Alligator mississippiensis: one gene and its partner. The protein of the gene in region 1 binds, or shares a complex with, the protein of each later gene. Links are inferred from orthologs where the notes say so. Each region holds a gene or a part of one and is shown on either strand. Other genes may lie near its edges.

What was found. The genes of interacting proteins can lie anywhere in the genome.
Region 2: the proteins of FN1 (region 1) and COL1A1 are in contact, whole or in part, in a crystal structure (PDB 3GXE), measured with the Homo sapiens proteins. The link is inferred for Alligator mississippiensis from reciprocal best matches to the Homo sapiens genes FN1 and COL1A1. Residues at the interface, in NP_997647.2 of Homo sapiens: Asp516, Gln517, Lys533, His535, Glu537, His539, Leu541, Gly549, Arg550, Gly551, Arg552, Trp553, Lys554, Cys555, Pro557, Gln560, Phe569; in NP_000079.2 of Homo sapiens: Leu261, Pro262, Gly263, Met264, Lys265, Gly266, His267, Arg268.

What each region holds. Positions count from the first base shown.
Region 1 is NC_081827.1:181,041,666-181,049,319, reverse strand, and holds the start of FN1 (fibronectin), read left to right. Parts: upstream 1-4,544; 5' UTR 4,545-4,702; coding exon 4,703-4,853; intron 4,854-6,482; coding exon 6,483-6,611; intron 6,612-7,654. UniProt on the Homo sapiens protein: Fibronectins bind cell surfaces and various compounds including collagen, fibrin, heparin, DNA, and actin. Fibronectins are involved in cell adhesion, cell motility, opsonization, wound healing, and maintenance of cell shape.
Region 2 is NC_081827.1:169,758,654-169,765,696, reverse strand, and holds the start of COL1A1 (collagen alpha-1(I) chain), read left to right. Parts: upstream 1-3,952; 5' UTR 3,953-4,074; coding exon 4,075-4,156; intron 4,157-6,451; coding exon 6,452-6,646; exon of another isoform or gene 6,647-7,043. UniProt on the Homo sapiens protein: Type I collagen is a member of group I collagen (fibrillar forming collagen).

The DNA.
Region 1 (7,654 bases):
TCTGGCAGTGTTGTCTGCTGACAGAGGCAGCACAGTAAAGGTGTAGCCTCAGATATTTTTCTGCATTCTACTAAGACTCCTCATCTCCTTACTGACAGATGAAATCTCGCTCTCTGGCGTGTGTACACACCCACCCCCACACTCCCTAATTCTCTTCCACTATATTATATGGAACCCTATTAGCAATTCTTGGCAACAGCAAGAGGATTCATCTTGTGCCCCCATTATCATCATTACAAACACCTACACAGAAAAGCTTTCTTAAACATTTCTAGGCTTCTTGGAAAACATGCTTTCAGTCTCCCTGACACACTTAACATAACCTGTAGACTTGCTGGAGCAGGTCATTTTTGCTTTTTTGTCTCTAGTACCTGGCACAAGCACATCCTAATTCTTAAGTAGAGCTTCTAGGTGCTAGTGTAGTACAGATAAGCTAGACATGATATCCCATTGCATATGTGGATTTTCCAAATTGACAAGTCCTTCTTTTCCTCACTTGATACCAACTCAGCAAGAGGATCTATTCCAAATGTCTGAGAAAGATATATTCCTATTACAAACAATCAGTTTAGAGCATTGTAACCCAGGAATACATACCCAGAATCTCTCTCATCGGAGGATTCCAATTCAGCATCTACAATTAATTCCTGGGTAAAACAGTATACAACATCTTAAATATGGGGACCCATTTTTAAAAATGAATGTATATTGTAAGTATAGTAGAACCAGATGTTCACTGCTTTGCAGAGATTTGCACCTGTTACAAGATTAAGTTCCTCTCTGGATACAGCCACACCAGTTCTGTGTGCACATTGAATGGGAGGGAGCTGGTACCTTGGATAGCTTACATCTAAAATTAGAGATGGAGAAGGATCACAGTTCACCTTTCTCATGCCATGACTAAGCTGATCCCAGCTCACCTTAACTGCCAGGTCAAGTTCCTGCTGCCAATCTTCAGGCAGATAAGACTTCTGGGTAATGGACACAACTATGTTTTTAAATGGCAAAGTAAGGAGATTTGCAAATGTGCTTTCCTGAGACAATAACTTCTTATATACCTGTACAGTTCATACTACAATGGGACCCTGATCCCAGCTGGGACCTAGAGACAATATTGCGATGCCAACAGAAAAAAACTTGATAAGGAGTTTTAGTGAATAGAACTAGACCAACGACACTCAATCTTTTGGTCCCACAGGCCAGATGAGTGGCATCAGGTGGTCAGTAGACTGGACTGGACCCTGTGTTGCCCCTACACATTGGGATTGGGCCCCGGGGCTATGCACCACCTCCACTCAGCTTTGCACACTTGAGACTGGGGCCTTGTGCCACCTCTACATGCTGGGATTGGAGACACAGGTCCCCATGGGCTTCTGCTTGGCTCCACACACTGTGACAGGGATTTAGGGTGCCCCACAGGCTGAATTATATGGGCTGATGCCTGGATCTGGCCCATGGCTAGAGGTTGAGAACCCTTGAACTAGATTTATATTTCAATATCCTTTGTTTCCCTGAAGAACTCTCACTGGTATCATTCAGAATTCAGCAGTAGGTCTGGGAAAACATGTGTCCATGCATGTCAGGACCCGACCTACTCAATCAGGAACCAGACTAGCCTGGTGGTTTATCATCTCTCAGCTAAGAATTTTTATGACACGCAGCAATAGCTCCCAAACCAATTCATAGAGAAGACATACAGGCAAAATTGTTATGTGGCATCTTGCTGTCCATCATCCCAGAGGAAATTCATCCGTGCCTTGATGGGCCACTTCAAGTGCCATTTTGGGGCTGCAGCACAGCTGTAGGTGGAATGACCACATCTGGTTTCTTATATAGACAAACAAAGAAGGTATTGAACGTGGACTAGCCAGAACAGGATAGGTAGCCATGCTGATGGGAATCCATTGACCATGAACACTCCACATTCATAAGTGGAACACTAGACAATGCATCTTTGGGCCAGCATGAAAGCTGTAAACTGCAAGGAGCTGTAAACTGAAGGAGGTATGCTTCTAGCTTCGGGGTGTAGATTTTTATCTCCCTAGAATGCCTACAGATGTCCTACAGAGCCTAATTGTTTTGGCTTCCAGCTGAAGAGTGGATCTGAACACAGTTACACTTCTCAACCCCCAGCATTAGAAAGTCTTTCATATTATCTTAGCAGCCCAGGCTTACGTGCAGACTTCCATTTTCACTACTATTGTTACTTAAGGTAGCTAGATTAAAACAAGTACTCTCACCCACATGACACTGACTTCTCCAAATTCCACATGGATGTACCCTAAAGGTGAGTGGAAGGGACTACTTTGAGTGCAATTAACATCTTAGCCATGAGGCTTTCCCTGCTACCTTCTGACATCATGGGATATTTTCCAACAAAAGCTGTGGAGGAGAGAATGGGGGAGTGCTTTCATTGGTAATAACTTCTCTTTTTGAGGAGTGATGCCACTGAAGTTATGTCAGAATGGGGGAGTGCTTGATTGGTAATAACTTCTCTTTTGAGGAGTGACACCACCGAGGTTATGTCTAGGTCAGCGTTTCTCAACCCATGGGTCACAACCCAGAAGTGGGTCACAAACAAATTTTAAAGAATTTTTTCAACAAACTTTAAAAATGTATTCTCCTTTAAATGAGAATGATGTGGGAAACCATGGGTTTCTCCTTGCAGCCTGGCAGAGTTCCAGCCTGGAAGGGGCTGAGGGGAGCAGGAACAGGGTGATCAGGCAGGGGGCACCATGCGCAGGTGCACATACACACATGCACATAGCAGCCAAGCAGTGTGGAGAGCAGCTCCCCACAGGGAAGTCTAGGGGGGCATAGATGACGTGTCGGGGACAGGGGGCACAGGCAACACTGCCTGCCACCCCACCTTCTCTCTGGGGTGGAGCCATGGCTTGAGGGGAGCGGCAGTGCAGTTGGGCCATAACAGTAGGGTAGAGCCACAGGCCGGCGCATGAGCGGCTGGGGGCAGGAGAAGGTGAAGGCAGTGCAGGCCTGCTTCCGATCTATGACTCCTCACACTGGTGGCAGCGTGGATGGTGTGTAGCTCTGGTGGCAGTGGCAGTAATGAGTCTCGCCGCCCTACTCTGCCCTCCTGTATCAAGTCCAGCACTGGGTTGCGGAGGCTGCTGCATCTGTTGGGCTGCAGCTCCGTGTCCATTAAGTGCACAAATCTGGGGGGTCATGTACCCACCCACCCATATGCCCCCCCCACACACTCATCCCCTGCCCCACACACTGGTGGGGCCTTGTGCCTGGGGGTGGTGGGCACTGGGTGGGGAGTGAGGGGCACCAGCAGGGCTGGGGCTGGGGGGGTTGGGAGTGAGGGGCACTGGCAGGGTCAGGGGTCTGTGTGTCAGGGCTGGACATCAATGTTTACAAATGGGCCCTGGTACAAAAAACATTGAGAACCACTGGTTTTGGTGACTAGTGAAGAGAATCATGATCATAAAGCAAGATCTTTTCTTTATGAATTTTTGGGAAGCAAGGAAAATAAAGAAGGATGCTCAGAGTCCTGACGGGCATTGGCAACGCATAAGGGGTACACGCAGGTGCACGCGACCCCCTGAGATTGACCACCACCAACATTGCCGCTGGTGTCTGCAGGCGGTCACTGGCAGTGGTGTCTGCGGGCGGTTGCTGCTTGCTACCCCCCATTGCTGCTGACACCGCCACGGCCACCTGCTGGCGGTCCCTGCTCGGCCAGCCCTCGCTGCCAACGTCACTGCGGCCACCTGCAGGCGGTCCTCGCTGGCTGCCGCCATGCCCCTGCCACTGACACCGCTGCCTGCAGGCTGTCGCTGGGACCCCCCAGCCTCTGGAGGCACAAGGCGTTCATGCTGACAGGGATCCAAAGACCTGTGGGGGGACAATTATACTATGGGGGGAACGGATCATGACCTAAAACAGTGTGAATTAATACCCATTGTTAGTTAATATTCTCCTCCTACTCCCTCTCTTCACAGAAGGGAAAACAAACCTCCCCCAAAACAAACAAAACCAAGATTTTCTTCCCTAATCCCATCGACTTCAGGGCTGTTGAGTCTTTACTCAAGAGAAAAGGCTTTATTGGGTTGTTTTTTGGGGTTTTTTTCCCCGCAATATTTTGTGCGGTATTTTTTGCAATACCATTGTGAGAGTGCTTCTGGCAGCCTCGGGATATTCATAGCGTTCGACACCCGCCTTTTCTTTGCTTTAGCCTGACTGGCGGCGAAACGGAGAAGCATCTAAAGGCATCAAAGGCCATGTATTGCCTGGGCCTCTCGGGGAGGCAGACCCGAGCAGCCCGTGACCGGTTTTCCCCCTCCAAGCCGGGGGCCACGGGCCGCGTCAGCTCGCCCTGCTTCAGGTCCCGTCCGCGCCTCACACAACTTGAGCGAAGTTTGCAGCGGTCGCTTTTGTTCGCCGCGGAACGCTCAGCCCCGTGACGTCAGCGCGCGCCGGGACCAATGGGAGCCGCTGGAATTAGAACAGGCAAATAGGTGCGGGAGCGGGAAGGGGGGCGCGGGCTCGTGCAGTGCCTCCGCTCGGCCCCGCTCCCGCCGCCGGGGTTATATCAACCCCCGCGGGCCGGCGCTCGGCCGCTCTCGCCAGGCAGGGAGGAGCGGGGCACGGCACTCCCCGCAGCCACCCCGGGAAAGTTGCAGCGAAGTGCAGAGCCGCTGCTCCGCTTCTGCCCGTCTCTCTCCCCCACCTCTGCAGGATGCCCAGCAGCCCCGCGGGGCAGCGGCTGCTGCTGCTGCTGCTCTTCGCCCTGTGCCTAGGGGCGCGCTGCACGGAGCGCACGGCGGCCAAAAGCAGGAGGCAAGCCCAGCAAGTTGTCCAGCCCCCGGTGCCCGGCACGCAGAGCAAACGTGAGTACCGGGGGAGGGGGCAGGGGACAGTCCCCAAGAGCCCTGCCACAGCTGGCAGGGAGTTGGGAAACACAGAGCAAGGAGCAGCGGTCTCAAGTTGCAGCAAGGGAAGTTTAGGTTGGATATTAGGGAGAATTTGCTCACTAGGCTGGTAATAAAACACTGGAGCAGGTTACCCAGAGAGGTGGTGGATGCTCCATCCTTGGAGGTTTTCAAAACCCAGCTAGACAAAGCCTTGGCTGGGATGATCTAGTTGGGGCTGGTCCTGCTTTGAGCAGGGGGTTGGACTAGATATGACCCTGAGGTCCTTTCCAGCCCTCACTTTCTGTGATCCTATGAAACCCAAGTGCAGTCCTGGGAGCAGGTCCTGTAGGAAGGGGGGCTGAAAGGGATCTGGTTTGACTTGCCTGGTCTTGTGGGCGGTTGAAGCCTGCGATGGAGCTCGGCCAAAAGTTTGGTACTCTGATGGGCTTTGCTTGGCATGCTTGGCAGAGAGAGAGAAGAATGTCCTCCTTCCCCCTCCAAAGTGAGCAAGTTGCAGCATCTTTGTAGTGCCGAGTAGTCGCCTAGCCTGACACTCGTGTAAGGATCTGGCTGCGTGAGTTTTGATGGGCAAAAATGCCACTTCCCTATGAAGACATGGGAGTGGAAGCTGGTTAGAGGCAGCAGGAAGGGAGCTTGCCTGCCACATGCCTGTAAATTAAAGACAGGCAAGGTTCTTTGGGTAGATGTGACATCTCTTCTTAGACCAACTAGCTGCTCTAATAAAAGCTATCACATCTACCCAAAGAACCTTGCCTGCCTATGCCCTCAGACCAACACGGCTACAACCAACAACCCTGTAAACTAAAGAGCTCTTCAGCTGGGTTAGCATCAGACCCCTTCATCTCAAAACAATGTGTGTTTGATTACACAGTGCAATGAAAGAGTTAAACACAGTGAAGCAAAAACACTAATGCACTTCTTTTTGCCAGGTTCTTTGGGTAGATGTGATATCTTTTATTAGACCAATTTTCTGCAAGCAATTATGTTGCGGGGGAAGGAGATGTTTGGTGAAACAATTGCCCTTATCACCTTTCAAATTGGTTGGGAAAATGTAGCCTGATTATCAAGGACAAACTTCCTGGCATTGCAATCCAGTAGGCTGGGAGCTGCTCTCTCAGGGGAAGTGGTGGAGGCCCGTTGCTTGCCACGTTAAGAGGCGTACTGACAAAGTTCTTGGCAGCGTTACCTGGGGAACAATTCCGACTAGCAGCGATGGACCGGGACTTGCTCCAAAGACCAATGAAGGCAATTGAGGTCTTTCCATAGATTCCATTGGCGCTTTGGATCGGGCCCTGGAGGAGTAGTATTTTCCATCTGTAGATTTGAAGCCTGTTAAATCTCTGCTTCAAACCCACCCATGCAGTTTCTGGAGTATTTCATTCAGAGCAGAGTGCCCACAAGGTTTCAAATTCAGTGCTCCATCTTGCTTTCTCTGCAAATCTCAAACTCCAGTTGCCACATTAGGGGCAGGTCCAGGACCTTGGGTATATGCCACTGAATGCTTTAACTCTTTCCCCTTTTTGTTTGAGGGTCATGTGCATGGAGACAAATGTAAACTGAAGACTTATGTTTTCATTCCTTCAGAGGGCTGTTTTGACAATGGCCGACACTATCAAATAAACCAGCAATGGGAACGCATTTACCTGGGAAACACACTGGTCTGTACCTGCTATGGGGGATCCAGAGGCTTTAACTGTGAAAGCAAGCCTGAACGTAAGTCTTTAATGACGAATGTGGAATGGATTGTGAGGCCAAGTAAATGAAAAATCAAATGGTATTATAGATGATGGACCAAGTTCACAGTTGGCATAATGTGGCATTAAAGTCAATAATGGATTTATGCTGATTGACAAAGATTTGGCCCTAGGCTTTAACAGATGCTTTTGATTAAAGATGGGCCACTACCAGAATGCTGCACCCAAGCATCAGTCATCTCTAGGGAAGAATGAATCTGAACCTTAATTTTGGAGCCAGCCTCTTCTTTATAATGAGCTGTCGCAGTTCATAATTACCAGGAGGAAAGTTCAGACCTGCAAAGTTTGACTTGGAACTGTCTCTTCTCTACTTTTTCATTTATTGTATCACCTATAACTTTCATCTTTGTTTCAGAGCTTTTTGCTGTCAACATGTTTTTAAAACAAATTTTAAATTTTTATTGATTACATATTTACTTCCTCCATAATTTGCACTTGAACTTCCCATACGTGTCTGTAAGGCTGGAGTAATTAATACCAGGTTGGAGTAATTAATACCAGTTTATGACCATTCATATCTTCAATGCTGAGGATACACTTCTAGTATCAGCTAAGTGTATGAGGGAACACAAGAGTAAGTTTGGATAACAAGAGATTTTAAGTTTACCAGATGCTGGGCAATGTGACCTGGTTTGGGATAACAGTGAAGTTTGGCTGATCAGATGTTTATTTTTGGCTTGCTATGACTGCTTTGTACTGGTCTGGTGATGCAAAGCAGTCATAAACCTATCTTAACTGATAAGATAGTTTATTGCTGTCTTTTGGCCGAACCATCCGGAGCCTACCAGTGACTCCAGCCTTTAATTATGTATGACACAAGGTCTTGGACACTTCTGCCCAAAAATCTATTATAGTGGCAGAGTACTTTTGACAAGTAACTCTTCTCCCTTCCAAACAGGACAAAAAACCAGACCTCACTTCTCTTAACCGATTACCATTGAACTGTTAAGGTCTCCTGTGGACCATCTAGACATCATAGTGAGAAATCAACAGAATTAGTTT
Region 2 (7,043 bases), about 11 Mb from region 1:
TGACCAGCAAATGGCATCTCTTATGCCCAGACCTAACCCCCTGTCCCTCTTCTCTGCATTGCTGAATGTCTTGGTTTTAGCAGTGACAGCAGATTCATCCCTTCCAAGCACGGGGTGAGGGAGTTTGCTGACCACATTTCAAAGGGTGCCACTAATGAGATGCCCCAATTGGAGCTGTCTCCTGGTGCCATATAGTCCTCTAGGGCACAAACAGGGCAAATTCACACCTGAAATAACTCTGTAGCTGCAGAGCACCAAAGAAAGCCATGGCACCAAGGAATGTGTTTTCCCAAGAGCTGAGGCCAAATTCCCAGGTGCCTAGTCTCATAGCCAGGGTCTGGATTCTCTAAAGAACACTGCTCCCAGCAAGGTGCCTACATCAGTTAATTGGTTTCTCACCAGCCCTTGATTCCAGCAGCCACCAGGGCAGCAGATTTCCAAAGCAGCCCAGCCCAAAGCACAGAGCCCATTAGAAAGCCTGGGCCCCATATCACCCTGTGAAATGATTCTAGTGGGCTTGTGGAAGGGTCAGGCCTGAAGGTGCTGCTGAGATGACAGGACTAAAATGTCCTTGTTCCAAGTTGGAGCCCCCCTTTGCATCAGACTGAAACCAGCTTGATGTTGCTCTTTCCCTTCTATTTATTCTGTCTCTCTGCTTTTTTTCTTCTAAGATCCTAATGGCTTTAGCAGTTTTGGGGGGAGAGCGGATTTCTTTTCCTTCTTTCCCTCATTCTGTTCCTACCCACCCCCTTCCCGCCCTCCCCTGCTCTCACTCTCAGCAAAACCATGGCATTCCTGAAATGGCCTCAACTGCTAACTCCAATGATGAGGTGGCGTCTTCTCCTCTCCTTTCTACTCCTTCCCCCAACCATTTCTCTCTTTACATATATATAAAAAAAGATGACATTCTTTTCTTTTCTGTCATGCTGCAAAAATTAAAGACACATCTTCAACCTGGAAGGCAGCCAGCTTTTTCAAGTTTCAGAAGATGTGATTGGAGGAGATTTCTCTTGCAACGTGTCTTGGGCGCATAGATACAGGGTTGAAAGCTGGCCAGATATTTTGGTGTGTGCGCCTGTGTGTGTGTTGAAAAACCCAGTACAGATAGATAGCTACTTTTGGTGGAGCTTTCTTTGCATTTAATTGCAGCCCTAAAAAAAAATAGTAGAGGTCGCCATATGATTCTTCCTTGTCCCAATTTCGACGTGTCCCATTTTTTTGGAGGGGAGGAAGAGAACACACACATCTTAAAAAAATACAAAGCTTCTGGAGCTGCCACTCATGAGTTCCAGCCATCATCCAGCCTGAAGGTGTGAGGAGGTTCAGGGCATTTTAGACGTTGTAGAGTTAGCGATCTTATTTACAGAGCCGTAGAGGGGCCTTATTATCGGCAGGCCTACACTAGGGCTCATTATTTGCACCTATACAAAGTGATTGGGCTCATTATTTGCACTGATAGAAAGTGATTGTCATGTCAGAGCCTCTCCCCTTCATTCTAATCAGGTCGCATCTGAAACCCCTATGCACCCATATAGAATCACTGTCACACACTGCCGCTCCTTGATCGCCTGACTCCAAGATCTGAGTCAAACTGAAACCACCCCATTGAAGAGGAATCTGATGGGCTAGGGTAGACTATCTATTGTGGGCTAGATCCACAACTGATGCTCATTGCTGTAGATTTACACCAACTGGCCACATGGCCCACTGACTCCAGTGGAGCCCTGTTGGGTTATGCCAACTTGAGGTTTGCCCATTGACTCAGATGGAGCTCTCTTGGGGTACACCAGCTGAGCTCACTTCCTCTGCTCCTATTATCTCTGAAAGCAATAGTAAGACATGTAAAGAAATGTGGGCTGCCAGGCATTAGACTCTGCCACCCTTTATTAACATAAACCTTGATCTTGGATGTCCAACACCAATGGAAGTGTTTTTACTGACACTACTGGAAGCAGGCACCAAGGTTTGTGTGTGAGTGTTTCCAACAAAGTAGTAGGACCAAAGACAGTTAGGTCAGAAGAATATGACCCCTCCAGCACTGATAATGTAGACAGAGGTAGATCGTGGTATAAAGAGGCTTAGCTCCATCAACTACCATGATTTATGCAGATAGAGGACCTGTAGTACAGTCTTCTTCCATGACTAAAGGCACATTTGACTTCACACTCTCACTAAAAGAAAACAAAAACCAAATAAAAAACACCCTAATGCCACATTGTCTAGATAACCTACAAAGAATCCTGTGCAATAAATATTTTCTTTTCCTTCTTTGTACTAAAGATACTGCCGTCTGCCATTGCCTGGTAAATATATATATTTTTGTGTGTAATTATAACCTCCAAAAATTGTATGGTATATTGTGTGTTATTGTCAGGGTGCTTTTTCTTTTTCCAACCAACGTGGCTCTTCAAACGTAGAAACAGCTGTGGATCTCTGCCAAGGAGGCAAGAAAGCAGGAAAGAATGAAGGAGAAAGAAAGAGAGAAATGGAAAAAAAAGAAAGAAAATGCTCTTTGCAGCATTTTGTACAGCGAATTCAAAAATCCTCCTGCAGTATTTCAGGAAATGAAGCTAAAGTTTGAAGATTTTATTATTAAGCAGCATTGCCTCGGAATGGAGATGGCATGGTATCTCCTTTTGCTTGGTAACTTCCAGATTCACACCTCTGAAAAGCCATGTGGAAGTTTAGTGGGTTTTTAATTGACTTTGATTTGCAAAGCAGGGTGAGAACATGAAGGCAGAAATCAGAGACTTTTACAGCCCATGGAAACCTCCATTCTGTCGAAAGAAGCGCAATTGTTGAGGCTTTGAGTGACTCACTACTTCTGCTTTTTCATAACAATACATGGAGCTGTATATTGCATTACTGTGTGGCGGATGCATGCAAACATGCTTATTTGCAATAGATATATTTGTGTGTGTGTATGCATATTTGTGTGTGTGTAGGCATATAGCTACAGGACCATTTAATTGTTATTTTTCTATATTAATGAACACATACTCATGCACATAGTGTGGAGTGATGAAAAATCCTATTGCTGCTGTCTAGAGTCCCCTGTGCATTTCCCTTCTGCATGTTAAAGACATTACCCTGCCACGCTTGCTTCTGTGACATTACAGAACTTTTCCAGTGATTCTATTTCTCCTCCTCTCTTCATTTCCCTTCCTCCTAGACCCTTTCAAAACCTATTCTCTTCTGCCATCAGCACATTTTAACAAGAAGAACATTGCCATTGGACAAAAAAAAATTAAAGCCTTTTTTGTGTGCCTTTACTTAAAATTAACAAAGCGCAGTTATTATTTCTAAAAACAAAACAAGGAAGGTTTCCAAGATAAAGCCACAGCAACAGGCAGCAATGCTGGGATCTGGATTTCCCCCCACCCACCTGATCTTGGAAATATTTGCAAACTCCCCCAAAAGTTTTTTTCTATACATTTTGAGAAATGCAAGCTGAAAAGTGAGCTTCTTCAATGCCTCGCTTCCCTGGTGAATCTTTGGATCACCTAAGAAGAAGTGCATTCCACCTGGTGAAGCAGCACACAATTGTTTTCCATGCAGGAAAGCTTCCCTCCTAACAAACAACTGCTCAGCCCAGCCTCTTAACTATGCAACAGCAAAGCACACTTCTCCCCCTTGCTCAAAGAATTTTCCTCCCTGATTCTTCTCTTTCAATATCATTAAGAACCTACCACATCCCTACTGTACATGCAACCTGCACTGCCAACACAGAGGATCCAAAGCCACATAGACTGGTCCATACCCTTGTGACTGAATACAAAGGGGGTTGGCTATAGCCTCCCAACTATTTTTTTTTTTTGCCTGGGACTGTTAGCTGGGCTCCTCTGATTGGCTGAGGGGCTGGTCCAAGATCCCCTCTGCACTGAGAAACAAGCTGGGATGGGATCCACCTCTCTGGGATGCTGGATCATATAAAAAGCGAACCTAAGCCTTGGAAAGTCAGTAGGAAGTTTCTGCTGGGGTCCGGATTGGAACTACATAGTCAGATCCTCCCTGTATGACCGGACTCTAAAAGAACAAAGGGGCCCAAAGAGTCTACATGTCTAATATTTAGACATGTTCAGCTTTGTGGATTCTCGGTTACTGCTGTTGATAGCAGCGACTGTACTACTCACCAAAGGTCAAGGAGAAGAAGACAGTAAGTACAAGCTTCCTTTACTAGACATAAATCTTGGTATTATTGCTTAGAGGCATTTTCTGTTTAAAAGTTGCTGTTGATGTATACAGGCAAGTGCTGCTTTGGGTGGGTTTGGAGCTAGAATGTGAAATGCGCTTCAGAGCAAGCCGGATGCAAAGTTTGCAGAAAAACAAAAACTCTTGTCAATGTTCTTGAGTGTGGTTGCGAACTTCAGCCCTTTGTAAGAATAGGATGGGAATTGCTGGATATATATATATATATATATATATATATACATACACGAATGTATGTATATTGCATGCAGTTATGGCTAGGAAACTGTGTTTGGAATGTCTACCAAGGCAGAGGGAGAGGAAAAAAATGTGTTCGGCGCCTTAAAATGAGGAGGTAGCAAGAATTTTTCTACTCTTGCAAAGCAGCTGGGGTCTGGGGGGGAGCAAGGGGGGGCAGAATGCATTGCGGAAAAGGTGAAGTGGAAAAATGAAGTCTTTGCTGAACTGAATGCTTCCCCCAGTGAAGCTGTCCGCTGTAGGACTCAGCCCTTTCAGAAGTTAACCAGCTGCAGAAGGGGATGGGTGTGTTCAGTTGCTCTGTCTCTTCTAAACATGCCCCTTGAGGGCAGGCAGCCTTGGATCAATTAGGAGTTCTGAGATTCCTTGCCAAGTTCAGAAAGAGGGTGGGGAAGAGAGAGAGGAGCACAGTCTGCCTGTAGGAGGGGCTGTCACCAGAGGGAGGATCAAGGGAAAGAAAAAAGAGAAAGCAAGTTATGGAAAAGCCATGGTGGGTCTTGAAAAGCGAAAGGGAGGGTGGAGGGAGAAAGGGGGAATCAGAGCTGGAGTCCTCGGATCTGCAAAAGCCATCAGGAAAGAATTAGAAAAGTCTCAGATGATTCATAAGGAAAATGTTTTAGTAGCCCATAAAGCACAAAAGTCTAGACATCACTTCATAGACAAAACCTTTTGGATGCTAAGGAACTGGATGCATGAAGTTGCTTGGAGGATCCACAGGCGACCTCTGGTGGCCATCGCCTGATTTACTCCCACAGCCCCCCCACACCTTCCACCCCATTGCCCTGTAACCCTGGAGCCCCATGGGGGGGCCACAACCTGAATCACTACTTGCCAAAGGGGCTCCAGTTTCAGGGTCAGCAGCTTGATAGGCTTACACCCCCACTCAAATGCAGACAGCAATAGCACTAATTCACGCCTGCTGCAGTGATTTACTTGGGCTTGGCCTGCCACCTAGGGACCAAGAGCCTGACTGCCCCTCCACCAGGATCCCCAGCCTATCAACAGATAAGGTTATGCTTGCAAACCCTGTTCTAGCTTTTAGGGGCTTGGTCGGTCACAGAAATCTATGGGCTTTTAAAAAATGAACTGAACACAAAAAGTGCTGGCACTGCTGAGTAACAGGATAGGATCAACTGGCCTTTCAGATGTAGTTTTGCTGTGTGGATTTTCATAGATTTGTCCCTATTTAGCAGCCAGTGCTAGGGAAAGAGCATGGAGGTTTTTAAAATATGAAATGTGTTTAAAATATTTCCATGTTATGAAAAATAACCTGCCTACTTGAAATCCTCCTCCACATACTTCTCATTATGAAATCTATCTGTTTTTTTCAGATACACTCCCCTTTCCCTCATCCCACCCATCAGCCTAGCCAAGCCTACCTGATCGGGTCACATCCTGGATCTTATTTCAGCCTAGCCAGCCCACCTGGCCTTCCATTCGACCCTAGTCTAGTTCACACTTGCTGTTTTTCCTTCCCACTCCAGTCATTTTCACTTGATCCAATTTCCCAAAGCAACTGACTATTACAGAATAAATTCCACTCCCCTCTGCAGAACCCCTCGTAGCTGGGCCTCCGCCTTCCCTCATCCCTCTGCTCCATCCCTCTTCCCTTTAGAAGAATCCACATTTTTATTTAGCTTGGCTCAGGCTCCAAAAGGTTGCAGTTACAGTTGGATTTAACAATTGGCTGTAGGTTTTGTTTAAATTCCAAAGTAAGTGGAAAGAGTTATTGTGGGGTTGGCATGTTTCCTGTGTCATTGAGCACAGCTGATGAGAAGCAGATGAGTGTGCAAGGGTTCCAGGATGAGGGGGAAAAGAAAAGAGAGATGTGTTATTGGAACTGTGGAGAAAAGAAAAACACTCTTGGATTAAGGAAAAAAATAGTCCCCAACTCTGATCAGCCTTGAGAACTACCCTTGTAGCCTCCTGCTTACTCTTATCCTGCAACTTATGGATTGAGCTCTTGCTCATGATGTGTTCCCCTTCTTTCTCATTGTCTACCTAGTTCAAACTGGAAGCTGCATACAGGATGGACTAGCGTACAACAACACAGACGTATGGAAACCCGAGCCCTGCCAGATCTGCGTATGCGACAATGGCAACATCCTGTGTGACGATGTCATCTGTGATGATACCTCGGACTGTACCAATGCTGAGATCCCCTTTGGAGAATGCTGTCCCATCTGTCCTGACACCGCTGGTATGGACCAGCCTCTATCTGTCTGCCTGGGTAGCCTTGGAGAAGGGCCCAGTCACTACAGTATACAGGGATTAAATGCAATCATCCCTTGCTAACCAGGCAGGAAGGGCATGACATGGGTGACTGGAAGACCACCAAAACCTAGACTGGAAACCAGATAGTCTCATCAGCCCTCATCAGGCTATCATAGAGTGCCCAGCTATAATATGAGACCAGAACATGCACCCCAGCTGGGAAATGGGAAGCCTCTCCTTTGAGCTCTCATGGGCATCTTCTTTTTTAGAGGCATTTCTTACGGTCCTGATTATTCCTGGTAGTGTCCAATGGACGAGCATAAAGCACGGTGGACACAAATATGACCCTTCAGTAGAGCATACACCTATTACAGGGTGGGGCA